Ovis aries: one gene and its partners. The protein of the gene in region 2 interacts with the protein of the main gene of each other region in a pairwise test. Links are inferred from orthologs where the notes say so. Each region holds a gene or a part of one and is shown on either strand. Other genes may lie near its edges. The genes, in order: keratin-associated protein 8-1, DAZAP2, MAGED1, MAPK1IP1L, RNF115, HIP1 and TOLLIP.

What was found.
Region 1: the proteins of DAZAP2 (region 2) and keratin-associated protein 8-1 interact in binary tests that used the Homo sapiens proteins (3 or more experiments, as listed by UniProt). The two-hybrid records come from large-scale screens. The link is inferred for Ovis aries from reciprocal best matches to the Homo sapiens genes DAZAP2 and KRTAP8-1.
Region 3: the proteins of DAZAP2 (region 2) and MAGED1 interact in binary tests that used the Homo sapiens proteins (3 or more experiments, as listed by UniProt). The two-hybrid records come from large-scale screens. The link is inferred for Ovis aries from reciprocal best matches to the Homo sapiens genes DAZAP2 and MAGED1.
Region 4: the proteins of DAZAP2 (region 2) and MAPK1IP1L interact in binary tests that used the Homo sapiens proteins (3 or more experiments, as listed by UniProt). The link is inferred for Ovis aries from reciprocal best matches to the Homo sapiens genes DAZAP2 and MAPK1IP1L.
Region 5: the proteins of DAZAP2 (region 2) and RNF115 interact in binary tests that used the Homo sapiens proteins (3 or more experiments, as listed by UniProt). The two-hybrid records come from large-scale screens. The link is inferred for Ovis aries from reciprocal best matches to the Homo sapiens genes DAZAP2 and RNF115.
Region 6: the proteins of DAZAP2 (region 2) and HIP1 interact in binary tests that used the Homo sapiens proteins (3 or more experiments, as listed by UniProt). The two-hybrid records come from large-scale screens. The link is inferred for Ovis aries from reciprocal best matches to the Homo sapiens genes DAZAP2 and HIP1.
Region 7: the proteins of DAZAP2 (region 2) and TOLLIP interact in binary tests that used the Homo sapiens proteins (3 or more experiments, as listed by UniProt). The two-hybrid records come from large-scale screens. The link is inferred for Ovis aries from reciprocal best matches to the Homo sapiens genes DAZAP2 and TOLLIP.

Annotation. Positions count from the first base shown.
Region 1 is NC_056054.1:125,440,375-125,442,684, reverse strand, and holds keratin-associated protein 8-1, read right to left. Parts: upstream 1,040-2,310; 5' UTR 996-1,039; coding exon 807-995; 3' UTR 501-806; downstream 1-500. UniProt on the Homo sapiens protein: In the hair cortex, hair keratin intermediate filaments are embedded in an interfilamentous matrix, consisting of hair keratin-associated proteins (KRTAP), which are essential for the formation of a rigid and resistant hair shaft through their extensive disulfide bond cross-linking with abundant cysteine residues of hair keratins.
Region 2 is NC_056056.1:134,989,234-134,993,441, forward strand, and holds the start of DAZAP2 (DAZ-associated protein 2), read right to left. Parts: upstream 2,801-4,208; 5' UTR 2,719-2,800; coding exon 2,706-2,718; intron 1,704-2,705; coding exon 1,585-1,703; intron 1,171-1,584; coding exon 925-1,170; intron 9-924; coding exon 1-8. UniProt on the Homo sapiens protein: In unstressed cells, promotes SIAH1-mediated polyubiquitination and degradation of the serine/threonine-protein kinase HIPK2, probably by acting as a loading factor that potentiates complex formation between HIPK2 and ubiquitin ligase SIAH1.
Region 3 is NC_056080.1:53,694,871-53,699,043, reverse strand, and holds the start of MAGED1 (melanoma-associated antigen D1), read left to right. Parts: upstream 1-1,373; 5' UTR 1,374-1,420; exon of another isoform or gene 1,421-1,527; intron 1,528-1,776; exon of another isoform or gene 1,777-1,900; coding exon of another isoform or gene 1,901-1,955; intron 1,956-4,173. UniProt on the Homo sapiens protein: Involved in the apoptotic response after nerve growth factor (NGF) binding in neuronal cells. Inhibits cell cycle progression, and facilitates NGFR-mediated apoptosis. May act as a regulator of the function of DLX family members.
Region 4 is NC_056060.1:65,599,142-65,603,127, reverse strand, and holds the start of MAPK1IP1L (MAPK-interacting and spindle-stabilizing protein-like), read right to left. Parts: upstream 2,801-3,986; 5' UTR 2,643-2,800; intron 1,343-2,642; 5' UTR 1,255-1,342; intron 1-1,254.
Region 5 is NC_056054.1:99,098,361-99,101,860, forward strand, and holds part of RNF115 (E3 ubiquitin-protein ligase RNF115), read right to left. Parts: intron 2,339-3,500; coding exon 2,223-2,338; intron 1,547-2,222; coding exon 1,415-1,546; 3' UTR 1-1,414. UniProt on the Homo sapiens protein: E3 ubiquitin-protein ligase that catalyzes the 'Lys-48'- and/or 'Lys-63'-linked polyubiquitination of various substrates and thereby plays a role in a number of signaling pathways including autophagy, innate immunity, cell proliferation and cell death.
Region 6 is NC_056077.1:34,461,034-34,465,229, forward strand, and holds the start of HIP1 (huntingtin-interacting protein 1), read right to left. Parts: upstream 2,801-4,196; 5' UTR 2,780-2,800; coding exon 2,660-2,779; intron 2,085-2,659; exon of another isoform or gene 1-2,084. UniProt on the Homo sapiens protein: Plays a role in clathrin-mediated endocytosis and trafficking. Involved in regulating AMPA receptor trafficking in the central nervous system in an NMDA-dependent manner. Regulates presynaptic nerve terminal activity.
Region 7 is NC_056074.1:46,562,165-46,566,205, forward strand, and holds the start of TOLLIP (toll-interacting protein), read left to right. Parts: upstream 1-1,241; 5' UTR 1,242-1,344; coding exon 1,345-1,377; intron 1,378-4,041. UniProt on the Homo sapiens protein: Component of the signaling pathway of IL-1 and Toll-like receptors. Inhibits cell activation by microbial products. Recruits IRAK1 to the IL-1 receptor complex. Inhibits IRAK1 phosphorylation and kinase activity.

The DNA of each region.
Region 1 (2,310 bases), on a different chromosome or scaffold from region 2:
CTAGGTGGTTTGAGATGGGGGATCTATTCCTCCCTTAAAAGACTCTCAGATCCCTAAAATATGTCTATAGGTATTCTAGATTCTCCAGAATCCTTAAATAAGGGACATGGCATTTTATTTACAATCCTTGGTCCCCGAGAGGGAAAATAGTGGGTTTGATTTGTATTGATACAGGAATAATTGACAGAGTCCCTCAGTGTTGGGTTCCCTTGTGAGGAACAGGAGTAGCGAGATGCGGAGGGACACCAAGCAATGGATGGTGTAACACTGGCGCCAGAATCGGAGGAGGATGTCGCAGACTTAAAGGAAGGGTAAGATAGAATTTTTTAAAAAATCATAAGCAGACCCCTGTTGCCTGCTTCTCACACGAGAGCAGGATTATTTGCTTTCTCACTGCTTCTAACAACCACATGAGAAAACTAAATCCACTATCCACCTCACTGCCTGTTTCAAGAAATATGCGCACCAAGAAAGGAAACTCCACTCAAGTAAGAATATAATAGCGGTTGAGACAAGTTTATTGAGAATTTGACAGACACATCCACAACTTGATAATGACAAGAGTCATGAGCATGGTGAAAAATTCAAACGTAAAACGTGTTTGGGTGTCAAGTTTCTCAAAATGTCCCAACAAACATCATGCAGGGAAGGCAGCTGGAGGCAAGTGGTTTTTCATCTTCTTCCCTTGAGACTCTGGTGCCGATGTGAAAAGCAGCTAACTGGGAGGCTGATGAGTCTCTGAGGACCTGGAAGTCCGCCTCGTGGGTTTGGGGGAGAAGATTCCATGCCTCTGGTATTTCAGCAAATCAGTAGAGAGCAAATGGCCAGAATCTTCGGCAACCGAAGGCCCCAGAGCCGTTGTAGCCATAGCCGAAGCCATAGCCCACTGGGGAGTAGGTACTACCGTAGCCACAGCCCACACTGTAGCCCAGCGGGTAGCCATAGCTGCCCCAGTAGCAACCTGGGAAGACGGTGCTGGAGAAGCAGTAGCTCATGGTGTCTGGGTTGGGCGGCTTGGAGAGCAGGGAATGAATTTCCTCAGTATGATGGATTCCCTATGCTCCCTTCTTTATATACCCGGGCTAGGGGACGTGGCGAAAAACACAAGGCGTCATTTTCATTCTTGACACCAATTTGCTAATTAGTTTGTGTTGCTTGCTTAAGATGTCTTTACAGTTGCTTCAGAAAGCTCTCATGTGATAGAATAACAGGGGCTGGAGTCCTTCCTGTAAATTGTGTCCCTTCATTAAAATACGCTTTGCAGAGTCTTCAAAGCCCTGGGTCTTATAAAGTCCTAAGTACAAGCCTCTGGAAGCAGGCTTTACAGTACTACGAAAATTTCTGAGGTTGTTAACTGTTATCCAGTCATCTTGTGCACTGAATTTCCACAGCACACAGTTGGAATTCAATAAATATGTGTTGGAAAAAATTGAATGAAATAACATATACATACTGTGTGTGTGTGTGTGTGTGTGTATGTGTGTGTGTGTGTGTGTGTGTGTGCGCGTGCTCAGTTGCGTCCTCAGTTGCGTCCAACTCTTTGTGACCTGGTGAACTGTGGCCTGCCAGGCTCCTCTGTCCATAGAATTTTCCAGGCAGGAATACTAGGATGGGTTGTTTTCTATTCCAGTGGATCTTCCCAACCCAGGCATCCAACCTTCAACCTTCGTCTCTTGAATCTCCTGCATTGGAAGGCGAATTCTTTACTACTGTGCTACCTGGAAAGCCAATACATAGTGAAATCACCTCGAGACTGAGATATTCTTTGTGTTTGTCTGATTAAACAATTTATTTTGGCTTTATCCAAGACAAATACCAAAGAGTTCATTGGAAAGACTCTTTTTTCCTCTATTTATAGCTACCGTGTTTACAAAACTGAATAAAATTTCAATTTTAATTATAATACCCACCTGAACTATATTTAACATCACATTTTTAAACCACTACCTGAACTAATAATCTTGTAAGTGTAAAAAAAAATGAAGCTTGTGGATTTATCCTAGAAATTAATTGTCAAATAACATGTTGGTCGAATATACTTTTTAAAATAAATGTTGAAAATAACAACAGAGTAAAAACAGAATAATGAATGGGAACTTTTACCTTAAAATGTGCATGATTTTTTCATTAGATCTAATAAAACCAGATTATGTAACAAATATGATGATCTTGTAAAGAGCCAGATGACAATATTAAATCTAAGTTATATCACTTTAAGGGTGATAATGCACCAGAATTGGGGAAAAAAATCTTCTCTCTAAATGGAAACTTAGTTCTCAAATATGAATTAAAGGAGGAATAAGACTGATC
Region 2 (4,208 bases):
GGAGGAGGCTGAAAGGAAAAGACAAGGTTGATTGGGCAGAGGGCAGCTATGGGAGGGAAGTGGACAAAGGTGAAAAAGGACCAATCAGGAAGATGGCAGTGTGCTAACCAGCGGCATCTCAAAGAGCTATCTGGGCCACCAATCTGAGTCCAGCAGGTCTACATTCTTTGTAAGGCCAAAGATATAAACAGGAAACCCACTCATTTAAAGGGTTCTGGATCCAAAATAAAGCCTATGGATACCTTCTAAGTGTGGGAAGTCCAGACTTGGCATTTTCAGTGCAGAAAATCACTCCTATTCACATCCCAAAACGGAGCGGGTACCAGGTCCAGGGACTTATATCACAGGGCCTGACAGTTTTCAAATGGCCCTGGATAATCTGAAGGCTCTACCTGATGACAGCATTTTCACTTCATCCCTAGCCTATGGTTATTGAGTAGATGGTCCTAGCAAGGACCATATGGGCTCTAATTCCCATACATAGGGGAACTAATCAAGAGACATTGCTAAAATCCCTAGTATCTCTCTAAATGCAATTTAATAGGGATTATGCATTGTTTTTTTAATCGTCATGGTTCCTAATACGATGCCATGCTGATGGCACATATAAATAAATGCTTATGGAATGAATGAGGAGTGTTACTAAACTAGTATCAAAGTGAACTGGAAAAGCAGCAGGCAGGACTCCTAAGACAGGAAAACAAAGGAATCTGATAAATTCTAACATCAGTGAGTACGCCAGATGTTACTGACTGGCCACGGTTCTCCTGCCCCTTTGAGTGCTTTCTGCCTGACTACTGGACGTCAGTGATTATTACACCAATACCAGCAACTATTACCCAGGGATGATGAAAGGATGACCAGTCATTTCAGAAAGTTAAAATACACAAGGGTCGAGCTTTTTTGTGACCAAGTCATACTCACAGGAATGTTTCCGGCAGTAGCGCCAGCTCCAAATCTGGCCCCTGTATCATACCCTCCTTCCACCAGCACTGTTGAACCAGGTGGATAGATGGGACCAACTGGATAATAAGCCATGGGGATTGTGGAACCTAAAGGTCCAACAGCCACAGACTGGGCCATGGGAAGATACAGTGAGGCGCCAGGAAATGCAGCTGACATGGTGGGGACGGTGGCAGCCCCCGGGTGCACAAAGCTCGGACGATAGAGCTAGAAGAGGCAGAAGAGAAGGCAATAAGTTACTTCATGACATTCCTATTTCAGATCTCAATTTAATGAGTCAAGTCTTAATTCTCCTTGTGCAGATTACACTCTTTGAGTTACACAAGTTGCCTTTCCACTGCCACTCAATATTCTCCTGGATCACTTCCTGCTATAGCTAATGTTAGGCTCAGGGAATGCAAACTCATCTTCTTAACTTCAGCCAGTGCCAAATAACATAAAACAATCAGATAATGCCTTCTCAAACCCAAAAGAAATGGCTGAACTATGTCACGTTTTAAGATGATTCATGTGAGCACTCTCTTCTGTTTGTGGAAAGTAAATAAATGTGTGGAGCCAGACTTGGCCAAGGACCGAAAACATGATCCAAGAGTATTCCATTATTAAGTTAACTGGAAGCACCTCTGAGTAGGCAGGTGGAGCATCAGTATAGGGTGGAGCCTGAGGAAGATGCAAGGTCTGAGGGTACACAGGGTTCCCAGGAGGCTGCACAGGGTAAGTTGGCTGCGTTGGATATTGACCTGGAAGACAAGGGGGGAAAAAAAGCATGTTGTCTACCATACAGTCACCAAAACAAAGCAGGGCATATTGGGTAGCTAATCTAGCTGGGATAAGCAAAAAGAGATTTCCAAACAGACTGCCCTAGAGGGCCTGATTCCTGGAGCCAAGAAAATAAGCATTCTCGTTGCACCCTTAAAGCTGAAGAAGCTGGATTCCAACTGGACATCCAGTAGCCGACTGCTGTAAGGGGAAAGTCTAGCTGGGCCCAAGATCCTCTCAGAACGCAGGGCAGTTCTGGGCATCCCCTCTAGCCGGTATTTCAACGGTGTGTCCTGTCTCCCTGTCCTGCGTGGTCTCCAAAGGTCTGGTTGTAACTGACCAAGACCTCGTGAGTAACGGTGGTTGTGGTCATCGACCTCACAGGTTCCTACTCAAGGTCGACTTCCAAATGAAAAGAGTGAGTGGTGGAAGTGAATGCTGAGATCGTGGAGGGGGCTGAAGGGAATGTTCTGACACAGAAACCGGGAGACTTTCTGGCCGCCAGCGAGGGTAAGGGGGAAGAGACCCCCTTCGGGCCCGACTGGCCCGCCCACCAGAGCGGCACTTTACTAGTTAAGCCCGGAGGCCTGCCTGTGGTTCCGGAGCGCGGCGCCCCGCCTCTGCCAGTTCTCCATTGGCCTACCCAAATCTCGCCTCCAGCTCCCCATTTGCTCCTACAGATGCCCATCACGACAAACCTTCTCCCCACCCCCCCAACCCACCCACCCAACAGCCCCCCCCCAACCCGAGTCCGCAGCTCCAAACTGCGCCACAGAGTTTAAGGGAGAAAGGGCCGTGAGGGAGCGAACGGCCGTAGTTCGGGAATGACGAAGGTGTCTGGCGCAGCCCCGGGCACTGCAGCTGGCTCAGGAGCGCGGCGCACCTCGCCCCAGGCCTGGCGTTCGGTGACCCTGGGCTCCGGGCCCGCTCGTTCCGGGCCAGCACTAGTCCCCCCGGCGGCCTCAGCCACCCCCTATCCTTGCCTTTGCTGTTCATGGTGGCTGCGGGTCCGGCTCGGCTCGGCGTCGCGGACGGTTATTTTTTTCGTCCTCTTCCTGTTCGTAGTCACTTCCGTGTCACGTGACGATCTGTCCGCCTAGCGTCACCCGACGCCCGAGTGCCGCTGCCACCGGAAACCCCGCCCCTTCGCCCGGCCGCCGGTTGCAGGAGGGAGGGCCCGCGTGATCCCGTCCGCTCGCGTAGGCCCCGCCCACCGGGTCTGGTCCTCCAACCCCTACCCTTGTCCCTCGGCTGAAGGAAAACCAAATACAGGTATTGTCTCAAAACGGGATCTTCTCTCTCTTGAACGCTCGGAGGCAGTAACATTAAACTATTCTCTGGAACCTTTTTCCACCTACGTTCAGCACCTCAAGGTCACCTCACCTTGACAGCCTTTCTACAAGGGGCATGCATGCTTGCTAAGTCTCATCGGTCGAGTCCGACTCTGTGCGACTCTGTCCATGAGATTCTCCAGGCAAGAATACTGGAGTGGGTTGCCATTTCCCATGGACCGAACCGGAAACTAACACACACACACACACACACACGGGACATAGATTCCTACACACACACACACACACACACACACACACACACACGGGACATAGATTTCTACAATCTTACCTAACTGCCTGAGATGCTTCGCAACCCTTGATCTATCTCTCGTTCCCCTCACTCAAGTCTTCACTGCCTTTCTATTCTACCGATAGGCTGTCGGTGTTTTATTTCTGTGTCGCTTTCTCACCGACAGAAAGGGTATGCTGTGCTGTGCCCCGCCCCACCCCGCTGCAACAGCTAGCACTAAAACGCATGTTCTTGGTACCCAAGGAGTACCCATGCCCTGGCCCTTACTTTGATACCTGTCACAGACACCTGTATGGTACCTGATAGGTATTTTCTCTGTGTATCCCTTCTCTTCTAACTTAATCGTTCTTAAGAGCAAAGATGCCATCCTTTAAGGCAACAATTGCTTCCATTCTTTAAGATATTTGCTGAACGCTTGCTGTGTTCAGGTACAGAGATGGAGCTGAACAAGACAGCCCAAGGCTATTTTCTCATGGTTTACATTCTGTAGTGTAGGAAGAACATTAGAAAAGCATCTGAAAAGAAAGCTTTGAAAAGAAAAACCCTCGGTAAACATTAGCAACCTGATCCATATTTGCTGTTGAATGACTTAAACCACTGAAAAGACCAGTACTCACTTCATCAGCAGTCCGCTGTTTTTCTCTCCAGTGTCAAATTACAGTTTGCAGGACACCATTAATATGCATGATTTTATGGAGTCATCACAGATCTTCACAACAGCCCTGTGTGGCAGGCAGGGCTTGTTTAAGCATTTCTGTTTTTCAAATGAGAGATTTGCCCTAAGTCACACAGTGAACAGGTTACAAAGTCAGGTGTGTTATCTTGGTCCCCACCCCCACCCCGGTTCCCAAATCAGTGGTTTGGTTTTGTTTTGTTCTTATCCCTTTACTCTGCCTATCACA
Region 3 (4,173 bases), on a different chromosome or scaffold from region 2:
ATCACTGCTTCTTTCACACTATACTTCAAATCCACTATCTTTCTTCCTTTCCATTCATCCATTCCATCATGTATTCAACATTAAACAAGTCTTCACTGAGTACCCTCTAGTATATAAGGAGTATTTTAGATTTTAATTATTCACCAGTCGATGGAGTAGCCATAGTTTCAACACTGTCTTCTCTTCATCTATTATTATTGTCACATTATAGTGCTACTAGTTCTTTATGTGTTCATTTCCCTCACTGATTGGAGGGTCTTGAAATCCAGGATTCTATCTTAATCTTCTTCATATGGACAATATCAGAAACAGAACCTTACACCAAGTGGTTGTTCAAAATCTGTTGGTTGAATGACAAAACATGAGTTAAATGCTGAAATGAACTATACAAATACTAGCAAAAGTAAAGACCTTGTGCTAGCCTTTGTCATTGCCCTGACCACATTTTGGTCACTTATTCATTCCACAAGCATCTATAATCACCTATTTTATGCTAGACTCTTACGTGTTTAAATGTTGCCTTAGCCCCTAGGCTGTGGCTTCTAGTGCCATGTCTCTGGGTCTAACGCAGTATTTGGTACACTTGCAAACTGGCTGAAAATAACCACAAAAGAGAAGAACTGGGGTACAGATTTTGGCCCTAGAGGAGTTTTCTGGAGGTAACAGCAATAGGTAACTCAATATTGAACTTTTAACCAAAGTAAGGCTTATTTTTATTATTGAAACTTTTTGTCAATTATCATTGTCTTCATTTGGGTGGGAGGGGTATAAAAGTACACAAGAATGCTTTCTAAATGAGTTCACTTTCTTTTGCAAATTTTAAGTATGGAATGTTACTCTCTGGATACCATTCCAAGACGGAAATGATTCAGATTTAAGACTTTTTAAAGATCTTGAAATTTTTTTAAATTTAAATTTATTTATTTTAATTGGAGGCTAATTACATCTTGAAATTTTTATACTAGTAATTAAAATGAACTTATTTTTTTAATTCCAGAAAGCAGTTAATCAGTATGATAAATATGTAGCTGTAGACATCCGAGAGTTAAGGAAGTAACAGTACTTGAACGTCTGAATCAGCAAGGCGAGGTGACAAATAGGATACACAGAGTTTGGCAGAGATGCTACAGTTCCTTGGATGACTAGGGCTAGTAGGATTTGTAAAAAGTTACTGATTCCTTCTTCCAGAGATCCTACGTCACTATCCAGGTGCGCATCTGGTGAGAGAGCCATTGAGATACAATATTTCAAAAGCTTGCTAGAAAGGCACAGGAAGTTGTCTGGAGTGAAGGCGGAGGTGGGGTGGGGAGTGATGGGGGCGGGGGTGAGGGTGTGGCGTCCTGGGCAAAAGCTTCCGCCAAACAAAAGAAATTAGCACTTCCGGTCACGCCTTCATCTTGTCGCGGCGTTCTTCACCAAGGTGAGTGTAAAGAAAGGGACTGATAATTTTCACAAGTGAGTCCCCAAACACTTCAGGAACGCTTTCCTCTTTGTTTCGCCACGAGGTGGAAAGAATTCATTTCCAGGGTACATTGAAGGATGTTTCTGACGCTTGTGGTTCTGATCTCTGTCTTCACTCTCTCACTCCTCAGGAGATGGCTGGCCGTCATCCCCTCCTTCTGACTCTTATGGTCCTTTTATCCCTGATTATTCTTCACTTCACCTCTTAATCTCGAATCCTCTTCCCGGTCTTTATGAACTTGGGTCATTCCCTGTACCATCGATTTCTTTCCTACCTCTTACTCCCACCTTCCACCCCGCCCTCTTCTTAGCTTCAGAACTTTTGCTACCCTCTTCCCCGACTCTGGCTTCTCTGATGGCTCAGACGGTAAAGTGTCTACCTGCAATGCGGAAGACCTAGGTTCTATCCCTGGGTCGGGAAGATCCTCTGGAGAAGGAAATGGCAACCCACTCCAGTACTCTTGCCTGGAATATCCCATGGACGGAGGAGCCTGGTAAGCTACAGTCCATGGGGTCGCAAAGAGTCGGAAACGGCCGAGAGACTTCTCTTTCTTTCCCCTAGTCTGAGCCTACATTCTTCCCTTTTTTTCCCCTTTAGACCCCAGTATTTTACTCCCCTGAAGACTTCTGATTCTCTTTGGTCCTGCTTCTGCGGAGGACAGTGAATTATTTATTAATACTTTATAAAATTAGGTGTGACTTCAATTTCAAGGGCAAGGCTGTTTTTGTTGTTTTTAAAAATCAGCAATGGAGCAGAAAATTTTTAGAGCTCTCAGAGACGTAGGAACTTGTTCAGATTATGTACTTGTATTTATTTATTACCCTAAACGAAATCCCATATCAGATATTGCACTGGTTTCAGCCTATGACATAAAAAAATTTTGGTATACAACTGAATCTCCAAATTTTGAGTGACAAATGTAGTGAGTTTTGCTTATAACTTGGTGTCAGCTTTAGAAGAGGGAAGCTTTCCCATCTTTAGAATTTCTCACGGGGCAGAAATGGTTGACAGAGATGACATCCAATCACAAATTTATTAATTCATGTGAGTTGGGTTTATTATGTAAATCTTTTCCTGTTGTTCAGTAGCAACATTGAAGAGCAAGTTGACAGATTTTTCAGACAAAGATTTTTTTTTTTTTTAGGAGCTATGCATGTATTATCTATTTGGTGTAATATGAATTTTGTCTTTTTCATTTGTTGCAATGTGAATTTACGTCTTTGCACCATTTATCATGTCTAAACTGTCTTGCAAGACTGTTCATTAATTATCACAATTTTTTATTTCAATTCCAAGAGAGAGAAAAGTAAATTTATAATGAGGGTGAGGGGTATTTCAGGTTATAAAGCGGAATTTAGCAGTCTCCTTGAACAAGCAACTTATTCCCTCTTCTGTAAGGTGTTAGACTTGCCAAAATAAGGGATGATTAAGTATAGTTGAGAGACAATGAGTGAATATAAAATAAATATATAATAGGTTGTGATAGAGATGGTTGTACTATGTTAGATAGGAAAGGCAGAAAGGCCTCCTTGGTATTGTGACATTTGAGCAGAAATCTAAAGGAAAAGAGGGCACAGACTATACATATATGAGTGGGAAGCCAGGATATATTTATGACAGTGGCTTTGCATTTGTTGGTCATTTTGCTTCCAACATTCGCTCTTCTTCCCTCTGCCTGTGGTCACTAGCCAATGGCAACCCATTCCAGTATCCTTACCTGGAAAATCTCATGGACAGAAGAGCCTGGTGGGCTGCAGTCCATGGGGTTGCAAAGAGTCGGCACGACTGGGTGACTAACACTTACTGCCTACTCGAATGATCTAATCTGTCCATGTAAGTTCCCCATATTGTCTTTCTCCTGGCTAGCTTGTTGCTACCATTTAGGTGAACTGTCAGTTACCAGCCCCTCTGGGAAGACACGTCTGCCTCTATCCTGACCTCTTCCTCAGTGTGTTAATTTGTGGTGCATTGTATGCTGTCCTACAGCGTATTTGCTTTCCTCTCTCACTGCTCTTTTCACTGCGTGTTCATAATGTTGCCCATAAATGTTGGTGTGGTAAATTGAAATGAATTTAGTGCCTGTCTTTATAAACAACCTTTTTAATGTAGTTGGCTCCCTAATTAATGTTCAGAACCACTGTTTAAAGTCAGTATCATCGTTGTCATTTTCCTGATGACAAAACCTAGACTCAGGTGGGTAGTAACTTGCTAAATGGTAGTGGAGTTAATGGAGTTAAAATCTGTCAGATACTCAGTCCTGGCCTGATCGTCTCTTTCTCTCTCTCTGTCTCTGTTTATTAATGAGAAGTAGAAAATACTCAATATTTTATTAGACATAGTCTGGATATAAAAATTTCATTTTGTAAGCTTTCTTTCACAAGTCTAATTATATCAGGTACTTGATTTACTTCCTAGTTATAAATGTTAAGAGCTGAAAAGTGTGATGACTTTTTACTTGAAATTTTTTCCCATTTTCAAACTTTTTATTCTTTTTTTTTCCTTTTAAATTTTTAATTGGGGTATGAATACGTAAGGGTACAGCTGAAAGCATTGTCACCACTGTGTAACCTACCACATGATCCAGCAGTTCCACTCATGGTATATATCTGGAAAAAGTGAAAACACTAATTTGAAAAGGTGTGTGCACTCCAGTGTTCTTAGCAGCACTATTTACAATGGCCAGGATATGGAAACGACCCAAGTGTCCATCA
Region 4 (3,986 bases), on a different chromosome or scaffold from region 2:
TTGTTTAGTATGGGGAAAGAATACTGGAAATATATTGTACTGAAAATATAAATTTTGAATGAGCATTTTTATGTGATAGTTTCTAGTATTGTCATTTATTAGCTAACACTCTGTTTTACATTTGGACAACTTAAGAAATTGGGATCTGCATGTTTTTGAACATTTTAAATTACTTAAAAATATGTAATTAAAAAAATAACTTTTCAACAAGGTCCTGTTAGTCCTATTTTCTACACTCATATTTATTGGAACCTAAGTGCTTGGTACTGCATTGGGCCTTGGGGAAATGAATAGTCTTAGGTGGAATAAACACTTAATGGCAGTTCAGTCTGGTGGAGAACTACCATTTAAACAGTAGGCTACCTGCGGTAAGTGCAGGGCACTATGGGAGCACCCTGAAGAGCTCCTAAAGGTATCAAGGAAAGGATTATCAAGGGAGGAATCCTGAGGAGTCCTGTCTTTGCAGTGTGGGAGAACAAAAAGACCTGGGGTAGGCCCTAGGGAAAGGAGCAGTTTGTGCAAAAGCTGGGGCAGGGACATATAAGCAGATCAGATTGGCTGCAATGTAGAAAGGGGAGGAATATGAAAGCTTCAACCAGAGAGTCTCTAGACCAAAGTTTGACCATCTCAGAGATAGCTCACCTCAATGAACCTGTTACTTCAACTATAATAATGGGTCCTTAAGGTCAGGGCTAAATGGGTCAGGACTAAATGGGACTGGTAAATCAAGTGCCTATAGTAAAAGTGCCTAGAGAACATAAATAAACATATCATCTTCTCTTCCTCGGTGTACGGGCTACTGCATATGGCTACAAGCCTGGGGAGGGGGGTCGGAGGGAAGTTCAAGAAGGAGGGGACATATGTATATACCTATGGCTAGTACAGGCTGATGTATGGCAAAATCCAACACAATACTGTAAAGCAATTATCCTTCAACTAAAAAAGCATTAGAAAAATAAAGGCGTGCACACCACAAGTATTTAAAACTAGGTAATGCTGCAGTTCACTGGTGGGCTCTGGACAAGCCAAGCTGTGCCAACCCCAGAGGTGAAAGCTGACAGTAGTATCCACCTCACAGATTTGCCGTGAGACTTACACAATAAATCTCCTGGTCACCGTCTGGCACGTAGCAAAAACTCAACAGGTGTCAGTTTCTACAAATTGCTATGATAGGTTTGTAAATTTTTACCTGCAGTTCTCAATTTAGAAACTTCTAGAAATGAAAGAAGTGTTCCCGTTTGACATAAAACTTACTTGGTGGACTTCCCTGGTGGCTCAGACGGTAAAGCGTCTGTTTACAATGTGGGAGACCTGGGTTCGATCCCTGGGTCGGGAAAATCCCCTGGAGAAGGAAATGGCAACTCACTCCAGCCTGAAAATCCCATGGACAGAGGAGCCTGGCAGGCTACAGTCCATGGGGTCGCAAAGAGTCGGACACGACTGAGCGACTTCACTTTTCATCGCTGCACAAATATTAATGCTGGATTGGGGACGCTGCCCCGACTCCGCTGGTGTGATCTCTCGTCTTTGTACCTTATCGTCTTTCTAAAACCTAAAGATAAAATTTTAGGATTTCTGAATTCCAAAACACACTGGTCCCAAGGATTTCAGTTAAGGGGCTGTCTCTGGGTCTCCATTCCTCGTGGAGAGAGAAAAAGGGACATTCCAGTACACATAACTCAAGTTTCTGAAACAAACTAGCTTTGAATAGAAAGTTCAGAGACACTCGTATTGAGAAAAATGTCTATTCCTCCTGCCCGAAGACCACTATTCCCGAACAAAGAGCTTCTGAAAGATTTCTGAAGGGTAACTTCGTCTTTAATGGAGGGTTCGTTTTCAAAACAAACTCACAGCCATGAAGCGTACGAGCGTGTATTTCTTTAGTAGCAACCCTATAAAAATGTTTTTCGTCTTCTGTCAGATGAGTATGCTTCCATGCTTCAACATTACTATCCCCATTTATTAAAAGCGCTACTCTTGGTTTTCAGAAGAAAACGGTCCAAAGCCACCAGGCGCTCCTAAATCCTAAAATAAGGGAGCACTACAGAACTCAACACTTCTCAGTTTGTCATGGATATTCATCTGAGTATCTGCTAGGAACTCCTCTAGAAAATGATGACAAAAAAAAAAAAAGATGAGCAAAACCTCATATTGCGAATAATCTTAAACTAGCGCCAAAGACTCCTACAAGAATCTTTCAGCCTTCCTCTCCCTTTCCTTAGCAATTAATGAGTAGGGGAGGGAGTCGGGGCCAAGGGGCGCTAGGCGGGTAGCCCTTCAGAGCCCAGCGAACAAAAGGAGTCCGGGATTAACCGGAGCGAACCGGCCTCCGAGCGGGTCGCGCCCGCCCGGGAAAGGGTGGGGGAGGGGCCAGGCCCGCTCCCCGCCCCGCCCCCCGAGCCAGGCCTGACGTCACCCGCCGAGAAATCCATCGCTACGACGTCACCCGCCCCCGACGCCCTCTCCTTGGGGGCCTAGCGGGCTGATTGCCCACAGCGGAGAGGAAAACCACGGGGAGAGACTCTTAGCCCCCGGCCCCCGCGAAGAGGCGTCTGAGGCACCTCCGTTACTGTCCCCGCGTCCCGCTTGGGCGGGCTCCCTCGCTCTCCTCCATGACCCCCCTAGCGCCGAGGCAGCCTCACCCGGCAAGATTCGAACTCGCAGCAAGATCTAGAAGTGGCGATGGGTCCGCGAGAACTGGGCGCTGAAGAACCGAGCGTAGCCCGACCGACGGCAGCGGAGACGGGGGCGGCAGCAGCACCAGCAGCGCGCGGCTCCTCCTGGCGCCGGAACAGGAAGCGCCGTGCTCGGACGCGCTGCCCCCACCCGGCTCCGCCTCCCCACTGGTCGGCGGGGCCCGGCCGCGCGCGCCCTCCTCAGGGCCCCGGTGGAACTGCGGCCAGCCAGTCCACGGCTGCTCGGCTGTTTTTCTCTCGGTGGGCGGGAGGAAAGATCCCTAGTTTCCCGGAGTTCTGAGTGTCTAAAGGAAACGCCAGTGGCGAGTTGCGCTCTGGCAGCCTGGAGGAAATTGTCTCCTGGAGAGGCTTGAAAGCAAGTTCTGGATTCCCTACACTTGCGGCATTTGAGAGTTAGGCCTCGAAGCTGGCTAGATGTGAATGCCTTCTAACCCGGGGCACAGATCCGTTGGCCAAAATTGTGGAGAGCTAAAGGAAATGGCAACCCACTCCAGTACTCTTGCTTGGAGAATCCCCTGGAGGGAGGAGCCTGGTGGGCTACAGTCCATGGGGTCGCAAAAGGTCGGACACGACTGAGTGACTTTTATATATTCTATGTAAAGCAACACTGCAGAAAAGTGAAGACGTTTGCAAATGGCTTGACAAATTGATATTAACAAAAGGAATGGATATCTTTGCAGGTTTTTTCTGATCAATATTTTTTTCTCCCCGTAGTTTAGTTTTGAATAAACCTTTACCTATCTACTCTGTGACAGACCCCAAAGGGGTCTGACCGCAGCGGTCAGGGAATGTGCTAGCTAACAATGAAGATGTCATAATTACGTGTTGTGCAAAATATACATATATAACACGTACATATGTTTTAGTGTAAAAATTAAAACGTATGCAGTATTATTAGATTTTATTTTCACTTGCTGTTAGTGGATTGGAGGGTGGACGTTTTACTATTAGCTTCTTAAACGAAGACTTATGTGGGTTTATTCCACAGCACACGTAATTCCCATACTGAAAAATGAGCGATAGAGAAACTTCGAACACCTAAGCCTGGGGAAAGTGAGAGAGGAGAGTGAAAAATTTGTCCTAAAGCTCAACGTTCAGAAAACTAAGATCATGGCATCTGGTCCCATCAATTCATGGCAAATAGATGGGGAAACAGTGGCAGACGTTCGTTTTTTTCTTTTTGGCTCCAAAATCACTGTAGATGGTGACTGCAGCCCTGAGATTAAAAGACGCTTACTTCTTGGAAGCAGTTATGACCAACCTAGACAGCATATTGGAGAAGGCAATGGC
Region 5 (3,500 bases), on a different chromosome or scaffold from region 2:
TCTACTAAATTACAAAGCTCTCTCTAACCCCATCCCTCATGCCCAAAACCAGTGTGACAGACCAAGAAAGAGACTAACCAAGAAAGAGACTCACCAAAGACTCATCTTCTTGATCACTCCAACCATGAAGGGCTGAGAAGACCACACCCATGGTGCCCCTCTTGTCACCCTTTTTGGTGGACCAACTGTGGTTACACGTTCCCATCATTTATTTTTAAGACTTTCACATTCCAACAACATTCTTAAGCTTCTTCATTTATTCAACTTTAAACACTTAAATGCACCAAAGAGCATGTACATGTACACGGGACACAGGCTGAAAAAAGAAGGCCTATCTCTCCGAGGCCAAGTTGTTTCCGCATGATCACAAAAATCAATATGACTCCAAGTATAACCAGAACCAAGCAAACATAAAGAGGTTTCAGAGATGAAAATGCACTTTAAAAATTAAAATGAAACAACATAAAGTCTCAATTCCTGAAGACCAATGAATTATTAAAAAAACATGAATCAGCTGCAGAAGCAGTAATAAAATAATCCTATTTCTGTGAGGGAACTTACTTTAAGGTCCCCAGGATAAACAGTGAGCTGAGAATCACTAAAAAACCTCAGAACCAGAGATTTCAAACATCTGTCTTTCTGTGCCTTTATCCTGCCCAACTTATTCCCAAATAGGAACCAGAATCAGATTCCTACCAACGTAAGACTCTTAAGACATGTCATTTGTCATGTTGGTTTCTGCAGAAGCTGCATCTTACCAAGTAGTCTTTAAAAATAAAAATGAGAAAACCAAAGAGTACAATCAGAAGCCTTCCCACTGTAACTTTGTTTTGATTTGCTCTCTAAAGATTTCAGAAAAAAAAAATCATTAGTCTCAGATTCCTGATTTAATATGACTTTACTCCATGGCTAACGTGGCCAAGAGTAAATGCTTGTGTACAATTAAAACAGAAGCACTTTATCAGCAGGGCTTTACGGCTGGTTCCACTGTATTTACTATAAAGTACACTAACGACGGTGGAGGTTGAAGAAAGAGGTGGAAACAACCGTCACAGGTAACATGACAGACAGCAAGACCCTAGGTAGACTTTAAGGAACCAATTCTATTCTGGCAGGGGAAACCCACATAATTAACCAATTCTATTCTGGCAGGGGAAACCCATATTAATTAAGTTTCACACTTACAAAATTATCACTCTGAATTCAGGAATAAGAGGCATTTGGTTCTAGATACAATTCCATCTGTAGACACTAACTTTAAATTTAGAGAAGAAAAACACTCAGTGAATTAATATTATGAGTTGGGGTTTCTTAAGTGATTCCTAAATCCACCTACTATTTTTTTTGCATTGATACAAATAATAGCTGTGATAGGAGGTCTACCATAGCCCTGGCTCAGACGTGGTCTTTAGTTTCAGAAAGTCCATCGGTCATGTAGCTGGCTGTCAATGTTAAATCTGTTGCTTGCAGAAGCCCCGGATCTCTGTGTTTGCTGAGTAGAGTCCTCACCATTTAAGCTCTTCCTACATACAGGACATGCGTCATGCTGAAACAAAGATATAAATCCACGTGAACAGCCTGACCCGAGAAGCTGGAAGAACTAAACATTTAAGAAACCCTGAGAGTTAGCAGGTAGATAAACAAAAAGGGCATGCCTTCTCACAGAGTACCTGCTGGGCTTCAAGTGTAACCCCAGGACATTTCCCAAACAGAACTTTTAACAGAACTGACAAAGAATTCAAGGCAGCAACATAACGATAGCTAACACATACTATCAAACAGAACTAACTAGAAACAATGACTGAGATGGACTTAAGCAGGGGTCAGCAAACTTGCTCTGTTAAAGAAAAACTAGTAACTATTTCAGACTCTGCAGGCCATACCACCAATGTTGCAACTACTTAACTCTGCTGAGGGAGCACAAAAGTAGCCATAGACCATCTGTAAACAAATGAGCATAGCTATGTTCCAATGAAACTTCATTTACAAAAATATGTGCCAGGCCACAGAAACCTATAGGCTGTAGTTTGCTAACCCCTGGTCAGAGAAGTTCTGAACAGATTAACAATCTAAAACACAGTAATGGTGCTACTAGGAGTTAGCCAGAAACTAAAATCTGATTTGTTTGGCTCTCCACTAACTGTTACTTATGCCCTTACTGATCCCCCCAAGACATGACTGGCACAGGGGCCCTATCACAGATGAGAGCTGTCTGTACTTACCAGTTCTAACCATGGCACAATACAACTGCTGTGAAAGTAGTGGTTGCAGGGTAACTGCCGGACTTCCTCCTCAACTGTGTAATCTTCTTTGCATACTGGACACTCTAAGCCCTTATCTGTTAGAGGAGGAAATGCCTTTTAAAATAAGCAAAAAGAAGGAAGAAAACCTAGCCTAATGTCTTTAATAATCAAAGGTATACAAAGAAAAAACAAAGTGCATCTAGGGTGGAGGCAGAGAAGAAGCAGAATTTTACTTCAAAATGGGGACAGAGGTGGTAATAGCCAGGGACATGAAAAGGACTGAAGAATGGGCCCATTCCAATAAGGTCCAGACAGCAACTCTATGAGGTCTATTTTTCAACATAAAGAGTTGGAAGAACTGGGGCTTAGATTATCTGTTAAGTAAAACAGGAAAAATATCTTCTCAAATGTGTTCTGGCAGTTTCTACTTAGGAAACACTGGCAATCTGTCCACCACAACCAAAGGACTCATCTCAACAATCTTGGCAGTTCTCATTCAGTGTGTCAAGCCACTTTCACTCTACTACTTTCGACATTACACATTCTATTGCATCGTGGTTACCCTAAAGCCCTTTTTACAGGTGTTTATTAAAAGCTGTACCAAGAGGCGCTGCGACAGAACTGCAAGGGTAACTCAGGCTCCAAGTCCAGAGACAGGAAACCTTCTTCTGAGACAAAATGGCTACAAACTGAACTAGGATTACCAAGCAGCAAATTCCAAGTTTGGCTAATAACACCAGCTAGTCTATCTCTCCAGCAGCTAGGGTATGTATGCTACATGCTCCACAGTATTCACAGCATTTGGAGTAAAATACCACTTAAAAGATTCCCTCCCTCCTCTCTACTCCCACAATGTTTGCCCTGATTTCAGCTTTTACTTCTCATGCCTAGTTTACTGCAATAGCCTCTTAGGTAACAACCCTGACTCCAGGCCTGCCAAATATATCCTATACTTTGCTACCAGTTAGTTTTCCCTAATACCAGCTCCACAGCAATTCCCAGCTCATCTTTTCTTGGATTCTCAGTTGGGATCCCCAAAAGCAACAGATTCAAAATTAAAAACATCACATCACCTCCTTATTCAAACCAGGGCCTGCTCACAATTCTTCCATCCCTGATGATGTCAGCACCACCTCTGTAGTTGCAGAGTTGCAAAACTTTAGAATCATCTTTCCCCCTTTCCCCTCCTTATCTTATGCAATCAATGATGAAAGCGTTTCTTCAAAAATTATCTGAGTCTACCCTTTCCTTTGTAGC
Region 6 (4,196 bases), on a different chromosome or scaffold from region 2:
ATGCCTCCAGGTATATTATTTAATCTAGTCTCCCATAATCAACCTGTGAGGTAAGTAGTATCCTTATTTTGCAATAAGGAACCCAAGGCTAAGAAAAGCTGGAAAACTTGCCTGGGACCACAGCCCCTCCATGTGCCTGGCTATCAAATTTCAGCCTCTTCCAGTTCCCATACCAGTGCTCGGCCCAGTACTCAGAAGCCACACAGAGCTGTGGTTAAAGGTTGGGATCACAACATGCTGTCTGACCTTGGGCAAGTTACTTAACTTCTCTGTGCCTCAATTTCCTCCAGATAAAATGTGGTTGATACTCACCTCATAGGTCCTTGTCAATATCACCTCACAGTACTTTACTGAAATTAAAGAAGGTGATACAATAAAGTACTCAGAAAAGTGCCAAACATAATTAGTTACAATCATCCGCCCACCTTCACTGATTCCATGGTCTCTTAACTCATTAAATTTTTTTTATAACTCATGTTCATATGGCTCAGACTGTAAAGAATCTGCCTGCAATGAGGGAGACCAGGGTTCGATCCCTGGGTTGGGAAGATCTCCTGGAGAAGTGAATGGCTGCCCATTCCAGTATTCTTGCCTGGAGAATTCTGTGGACAGAGGAGCCTGGCAGGCTGCAGTCCATGGGGTAGCAAAGATTCAGACACGACTGAGTGACTAACACACACATACATTGGGTAAGTAGTCATTAAACAATACACATTTTTGCAGATTGACTAAGGTGAGGTTTTTAGAATTGTTCTCTTTCCTTTTCTTCACTCTCTTATTGCCCTAATAGTTTCAACAACACAGAAACTCTTTTCCTGATTCATTCTACCTCCCTTACACACACACACACACACACACACACACACACACACACACACACACACGCCACTAGCTCAAATCTGGCCAATTATCAGTGCCCCACAGAATGTAAGATACTGCCTAACACTGACCTAGACTCTCCTTGTTGGGACGTCCCTGGATAGCTAGAGAAACTTTCACAAACCTAATTTCCATCACTATAATGGGTCAAACTCTTATGTGTATTTCTCTATTGCTCCAGTTTTTACTGGAGACTCTAAAAGGAATGAATTACCATTTATTTTCCTTGTCCATTACAAGAAAGATTTACACTGTTTCCTGGAGCAAGAAGCCTTGTGTGCCCAGGCAGCTAGACGAGGGCATAATGCCCATAGCAGACAAGCATCTTCCTTCCTTTCTGGGGTCCAATCCACAGAATTAGAAAATAAAGCTTAAACCCAGCCAGACCCTGGGAGAGAGAAGTAAAGAGCCTTCTCTCCCATCCCGTGTGGGGTAGAATGATGACCTAGGGAGGGGACACTGCCTACTTTACACCACCTGGACACACCTGTGAAGGGCCAGAGGTGCCTGGAAAAAGAAGAGGAATTAGTCTCCTGGGTTTTCATGAAAAGTTTCCTTCTTTGCAAGATTCCCTACATGGAACACTCGATCAGGACCTCACAATCTTTATCTAAAACCCCACTGCCCTTCCTTCACATGGTACTAAGTTTGGGGAGGGCGGTGGGGAGCAGAACAGAACGGGAGAACCAGCTTCTGGCAGCGGAAGCCCCCTGGCTCTTCAAAGGTTTCACTCCGAGAGCAAGAGTGAGCGCGAGTGAGGAACAAACTTGCCCATACAACTTCAGCAGTGGGATTAAAAGAAGTGCTGTGCCCTTCGAAATGGATTTTGCATACAAACCAGCCGATGAACACCATAAACATGTCAGCTTTATTCAGTCCAATCAATACACCAGGCATTAAAACTCTGAGGTAAAAATGGATTGTGGCTTTTTGTTGATGACAGTGAGGAATTTTGGCCCCTAGCCCTGCTCAGGCTGGACAATTTAGGGCAGGCTGCCTATTAGCTGTCAGGCACATTTAGGGGGATGAAATCAAAACCCCGATTCAGGGTTCTGGGCACCCCAGAACAACCCAACTTGACCCGAATCGGGGCCACTGGTCCAGGACCCTCAATATCTGTCCTTGGGCCGGCCCCCTCCTCCAGCCCCCGGTCATCTTCCAAACTCGGCCACACACCGCATTTCCTACATTCCTTCCTCCGGGCTCAGACCCCTTCAGTCCGGTCCTCCGAGGCCGACAGCTGGGGGCTGGCGTGAGCCAAGCTAGAGGCACAAGGAAGGGGATGCTAGGGACGGGGGGAATGTCAACGCAGTCCTGAAGTGATCGAGCGGAGAGTACAGGGCGCCCCAGCCCTCACATTCCCGACTCAGCGCCCCACTCTCTGCAGCCACACTTGCGACCCCCAGCGCCACCCCCCCCCCGCCAGGGACCTTCCCCAGCTAGGGGCACCCCTTCCATTCGGCCCCCTTTTCGCGTTCCTTCCCCTCTCACCGCCCCCGTGACCCCTGCCCTGCCCCGCCGGGACCGGCTCCAGTCGGTCGCACCGCGCGGACCGTGCCAGCTGCTCAGAGCCGCCCTGCCCTCTCCCCCAGGCCAGCCGGGATGGCCCCGGGGTCCCCGACCTTCCCAGACCGCCTTGACCACCGCACCAGATGCCCCCTTGCTCAGTCCTTCCCTGGGCCTGCAAGATCCCTACTCCCTTCGAGTCCCCTCCAGGACACTGCGGGATGCCCCAGCCGTGCACGACCGGGGGTGTCCCCCACCCCGCCCCGGTCCTCACCTGAGTCCGCTCAAAGCTCTCCCGCTCCGCAGCCTCCATCCCCGCGCCAACCCCACGCCGGCTCAGCACCTTCGGCAGGGGGTTGGGGACCTGCTTCATGGAGCTGGCCATCCGGTCCATGTCGCCGCGCGGAGCCGAGTCAGGGGCCCTCAGCCGCCCCGGGATCCCCACGGCGCCGCCCGCCCCTCCCTATCCACTGGGATCCGGCGCTAACGGGAAGGCGCCCGCCTCCCATTGGCTGAGAGCGCTGCTACTCTGCCGAGGCCCCGCCCCAGCCCAGAGGCTTCCCCGTCCGCCCCCGCCCTCTCCAGAGCCCCCGCCCCGGCCCTACCCTGCAGGGCGCTCCGGACCGTCAGGCGCGCCGGGACGGGCCCGGAGGCCTGTCGGTCACCGGCCTCCACCGCCCCTGGCGGGGGCGGGCCTGACCTGCCCTAGCCCGCCCCTTCCCCGACGCCCAGAGCGCGGCTCTCCCAGCCGCTGGCTGCACCCGCGAGCTCCCAGCGAGCCGCACTCTCCCAGTCCCCCCACCCCACCCCGGGCGCCGCGAGGTCCCGGCTTGGTTGGTGGGCGGGGGTCAAGCTGGCGGTGAGTTGGGCCTGCCGCAGGGAATCCGGGCCCGCGTGGGACTGGCCTGTTAACTCTTTTCGGGCCGGAGACAAGAGCGCGCGCGATGGACCAGCTCGGCGGCCCCTGTCCCAGGATGCGCTTGCCCTGAGGCCGGGCCTCCGCAGGTTGGTTCAGCGGGTCGCAGACCTGGCCGGCGTGGGTAGCGGCTCCCACCGCCTTCTCCCTCGTCCTGCCCCTGCCCCGAATCCCTGCCCATCCCTTTTGTAATGTTCGCAGACCAGGGAGCGCTGGGCTGGGTCAGTGGAAACTTCTCGACACCTTTACAAACCTCTCACCCTCTGGATCTGGTCAGGATGTATTCGTTGGTAGAAACCCATGTGGACATTTTAATATTTATCCCCGGCTCTGGGACACCCCTCCCATCCTGCTCCGTCGTCAGCCAAGGTACTGACGACAGGCGTAGGGGGGATGGAAGGGGGTGGAAGTAAGATCCTTAGCCGAGATGCTGAAGAAAGTTAAAAGTTTTCTGTTCAAATGCCAATTTTGATGTTTTAAAAATAAATGCTTTTTGCAACTCAAAGTAAAGAAAGGCGTTACTTTTTTTTTTTTTTTTTTGACTAAGAGCTTTTGATAAAAATTCACACATTCAATAGAGAAGCAGAAGAGGGGGTGGGCCTATGTAGGCACTGGGGAGCCTCTGACGGCTTTGCCAGCTGGCATCGTGTGGATGGGATTCTGGGGGCGACGGGAAGGAAGGGAACCAATGGGGAGACTCCGGCAGTAGGTGAGAGCCCACGAGGGCCTCCACTAGCAAGCCAGGAGAGAGTTCAATCCTGTGGGAGGTTCTGTGAATCAGTCAGTTCAGTCGCTCAGTCGGGTGGGACTCTTTGAAACTCCATGGACTGCAGCAGGCAAGGCGTCCCTGTCTGTCACCAACTCCCAGAGCTTAGTCAAACTCAGGTCCATCGAG
Region 7 (4,041 bases), on a different chromosome or scaffold from region 2:
GGCAGCTCCCTGAGACTAAAAGTCTCTCATGCTTTGCTTTTTCACTTCGCCCTTTCTTGGTAAACAGGACATTTGCTGAAATCTCTGCAGTGTTCTTCCCGAGAACACCCGCTGTTTCTTGCCGGGACCCTGACTGATACTATAATTGCCACCGGAAGTGACCCCAGGAAACAGGCTCTAAATGGGATTCTGGCCTTGAGGTGCACGTCTATCTGATGAGTGTGTGGATAAAGTCCTTGCCCAGGGAAATCGAGTACCAGGAGCCCGTGTCATCCAGGGACAAGGGACATCCCAGTTCCTAAAATGGTCACCAGCGGCGGCATGGGGCGCCGTGCCAGTGGGTAGCCAGCCGCTTGGGCAAATGCGGGACTGCAAAGGCTGCGCAGTGGGCTGGCTACTTCTGAAGGTTCTGGGAGGCACACAGCAGGGCAAGGACGGCTCAAGCCTCGGGTGTGAAAGTGCCCTCCAGGCAGGCCACCGGGAACGCCTGCACCTCGACGAACCAGACACCCTGGGGACGCACAGGGGGACCCCGTGTAGGATGGGGGCTCTTATAGGTGATTCCGGGTAAGGTTTAAGGACGCGGGGTCTCGCTGTGGGTTGGGTGCCATCTGGAAGCTCCTTAATACTTCCCATCCGGGAGAGGCGACTGGCGGGCGGCGGAGGCTGTGGCGCGAGGGGGACGCGGCGCTCCAGCTCGGGCGCGAGAGGGTGGCCACTGGCGGGGGAATCCGCGCGGCGGCCTGGAGCGGCCAGCGGCTGTCTCGCGCCACCGCCGCCTGGGAGCCGCCGGTGTCGGGAGCAGAACGCCAGGCCCGGGGGAGCCGCCTCGGATGGAAAAGCGCAGGGCTGCGTGGAGACCCCAGCGGCCGCCCGGCCAGCAGCGTCGGGCACACCGAGCCGAGGGGCCGGCGGGCGGCAGGGGAATCGCGCGGCCTCACCGCCGGAACACTCGGAAGGCCGCGGCCGCACCGGGTCACGCCGGCCGCTCGCGGGGCGCGGCCGGGCCACGAGCCCGCGCGGCAGCCGCGGCGGCTCGCGTCACCGCCCGCCCCGGCCGGCCGCGCCCGGCTGCCCGCCGCGCCCCAGCGCGCAAGCGCACAGCGCCGGCCCGGGAGCCATTTCACGCGGCCGCGGCGCGGCGGGCGCGACTGCGCAGGCGCCCGGCGGGAGCGCGCGCGCCTGCGCGAGAAGCCGGAAGCGGCGGCGCGCTCTGCGCCTGCGTCCGGGCCGGGGGGGGCGGGGCCGCCGTCAGCTGACTGAGGCGGCTGCGGCCTCGCGGGACCGCCGTCGGCTCGCGTCTCTGGCGGCTGTCGGGGGGCTACGCGCGGGCCCGGCCGGACCATGGCGACCACCGTCAGCACGCAGCGCGGGCCGGTAGGCTCCGGCGGGGGCGGGCTCCGCGGCCTTCGGGCACAGGCCGACGCCGGGCTCCGTGCGAGCGGAAGGGAGTCCCCGGCAGGGAGAGGCCGCGCACCGTGCGGGCCCCCGGGAGGACGAGGCCTCACGCTCACCGGGCGCCCGAGGCGGGGGGTGGTCGGCGCCGGTTGGTTCCCGGGGAGGAGGCGGGTCGGCGCCGGTTGGTTCCCCGGGGCCGGGGAGGGTCGGCGCCCGTTGCGTCCCCGGGATGGGCGATGGTCGGCGCCCGTTGGTTCCCCGGGGCCGGGGAGGGTCGGCGCCCGTTGCGTCCCCGGGATGGGCGATGGTCGGCGCCCGTTGGTTCCCCGGGGCCGGGGAGGGTCGGCGCCCGTTGGTTCCCCGGGATGGGCGATGGTCGGCGCCCGTTGGTTCCCCGGGATGGGCGATGGTCGGCGCCCGTTGCGTCCCGGGGAGGAGGAGGGTCGGCGCCGGTTGGTTCCCCGGGATGGGGGAGGGTCGGCGCCCGTTGGTTCCCCGGGGCCGGGGAGGGTCGGCGCCCGTTGGTTCCCCGGGATGGGCGATGGTCGGCGCCGGTTGGTTCCCCGGGATGGGCGATGGTCGGCGCCCGTTGGTTCCCCGGGATGGGCGATGGTCGGCGCCCGTTGGTTCCCCGGGATGGGCGATGGTCGGCGCCCGTTGCGTCCCCGGGAGGAGGAGGGTCGGCGCCGGTTGGTTCCCCGGGATGGGGGAGGGTCGGCGCCCGTTGCGTCCCCGGGTGGAGGGGGCCCCGCCCCCACCGGCGGGCCCCGGGGTCGGGCGGGGTCGGCACCCGCTGGGTCCCCGGGAGGAGGCAACACCCTGTGCCTAGAGTGTCCGTCTGTAGAGGAGCCACCCGGCCAGGCTTGGATGAAGGAGGGTCCAGGCCCAGCTGTGTCCCTCGGTTCCTTTGGTAACACATGAGGGGTCCTGAGCTGGGAGTCCTCTTCTGCCCCTGGCCCTGGAGTCCTGTCTCCTGCGCGGCTGCTGTGTCCTTGTCCAAGAGCAAGGCTTCGGCTCCTGGGGAGTCACCTCTAGCCCCCGTTCAGACTGGGTTGGGGTGCCTGACCATGAGCGGTGAGGGTTTGTTTGCTTTAATCACAGTCAGAGCCTTCAGCTGGGACAAGGTTCTGGTTGATGGTTTGATGTGGCTTCACCAGGGAAGTCCCCGCAGCCCTGGCTCTTCACTCTCCCGCCAGGATGGACAGATCTTGTCTGTGTCTCTGCCAGCGGGAGACGAATCTATCCACACGGCGTCTTTCTGAGTTTGAGGAAGGCAGGTCTTGTTGGAAGCCCTTTGGGCACAGGTGTTCTTTCTGACCGTTTGAATGGGACGTGACAGGGCTTCGTGACAGACATGCATGTGGAAAGGTCCCGGAGTTCGTAGGGTGGATTCTGGCCCCTGGCTTCCCGTCTCCGTCTTCACTGCACACAGTGGCTTGGAGCAGGCTGAGCGTCAGCACTTCCTCCGTTCTATAGGGGCAGCAGGGACGGGTGTTGGTTCTGTCCTGGGTCAGACCTGCTGGGAGCTCTGTGCCTTCGCCAGGCGGGATCCGCAGGCAGACATGCGCAGGCCTGGGACCCAGGCAAGGGGAGCGCGTGGTGAAGGCGGGCCTCCTCTAGTCCAGAGGGATGTTGGCCCTGCGCTGAGGTAGGGCTGTGACAGGGCCCAGGCGGCAGGGGGTGTCTGGATGTGAGGCCTGTGCTGTTGAGCTCCCAGTGACCCGGACGACTGGCACGTTCTCTTGTCGGGGACTTGGGCCCCACGCGTGGACTGGCAGGGGTGTGGGGGTGCTCCTCAGGGGCCGAGCTCATGCCCTGAGGTTCGGTCAGGGCCAGAGCAGCTGGGGGCTCCGGCCCTCGGGCGCACTGGCCTCGGTGCGGGCGCTCTCGGCGTCTTGGGTAGCACGGCTCACTGATGCCGCCGTCAGGCTCACAGAGGAGCCAGGCCTGGGCCTGAAGGTCTGGCCTGGAATCGTGGTGAGCAGTAGCCTCCCTGGGCCAGGGCGTGGGGTGAGCAGGGCTGTGGAGGAAGCACGGCTGACCGAGACTTAAGGGAAGGGGAGCGTGGAAAGCAGAGCTGGAGAGGGTGGGGAGAGCCACTGCTTCGAGGCTGGGAGCTCCTGCTGGGGTGCCTGTGCTGGGGGGCGGGGGGTCACTCGAGTGGGCTTTCTGTGTTTTCTAGAGCTTTTGCCTGGTACCTACCCTCTCGTTCTACGTCTCCCCACCAGCCTATCCCCCGTGGGTGAACGACACTTGTAGAGGCTTCCTCTCCAGTTATCGGCGTTGGGGAGCCCTTCCTTTTGCGGTTACTAGAGTCTGGTGGAGACCGCTTCCCTTGCCAGGATGCATGGACTTGGCGGGGGCTGTCCTGTGCGTGCCTGGTGCAGTGGAGGCCCGCGGATGCGCTGGGTCCCGGCTGGGTGGCACGCCCAAGGGCCAGCCTCTGCGGGGGGTCCCAGCCTGGCTCACACAGGACAGGCAGCACTCAGCCTCAGCCCAGGGTCACTGACCAGGGGACCTGGGCTGACTCTGAAGTCTGATTGTCTCCTCCGGCGCCTGGTGAAGGACGGATGGGCAGGGTCCCCAGGCACATGAAGGCAGAAGTGGGCCTGCCCACTTGGGGAGATTCCCTCTGTCCCTGAA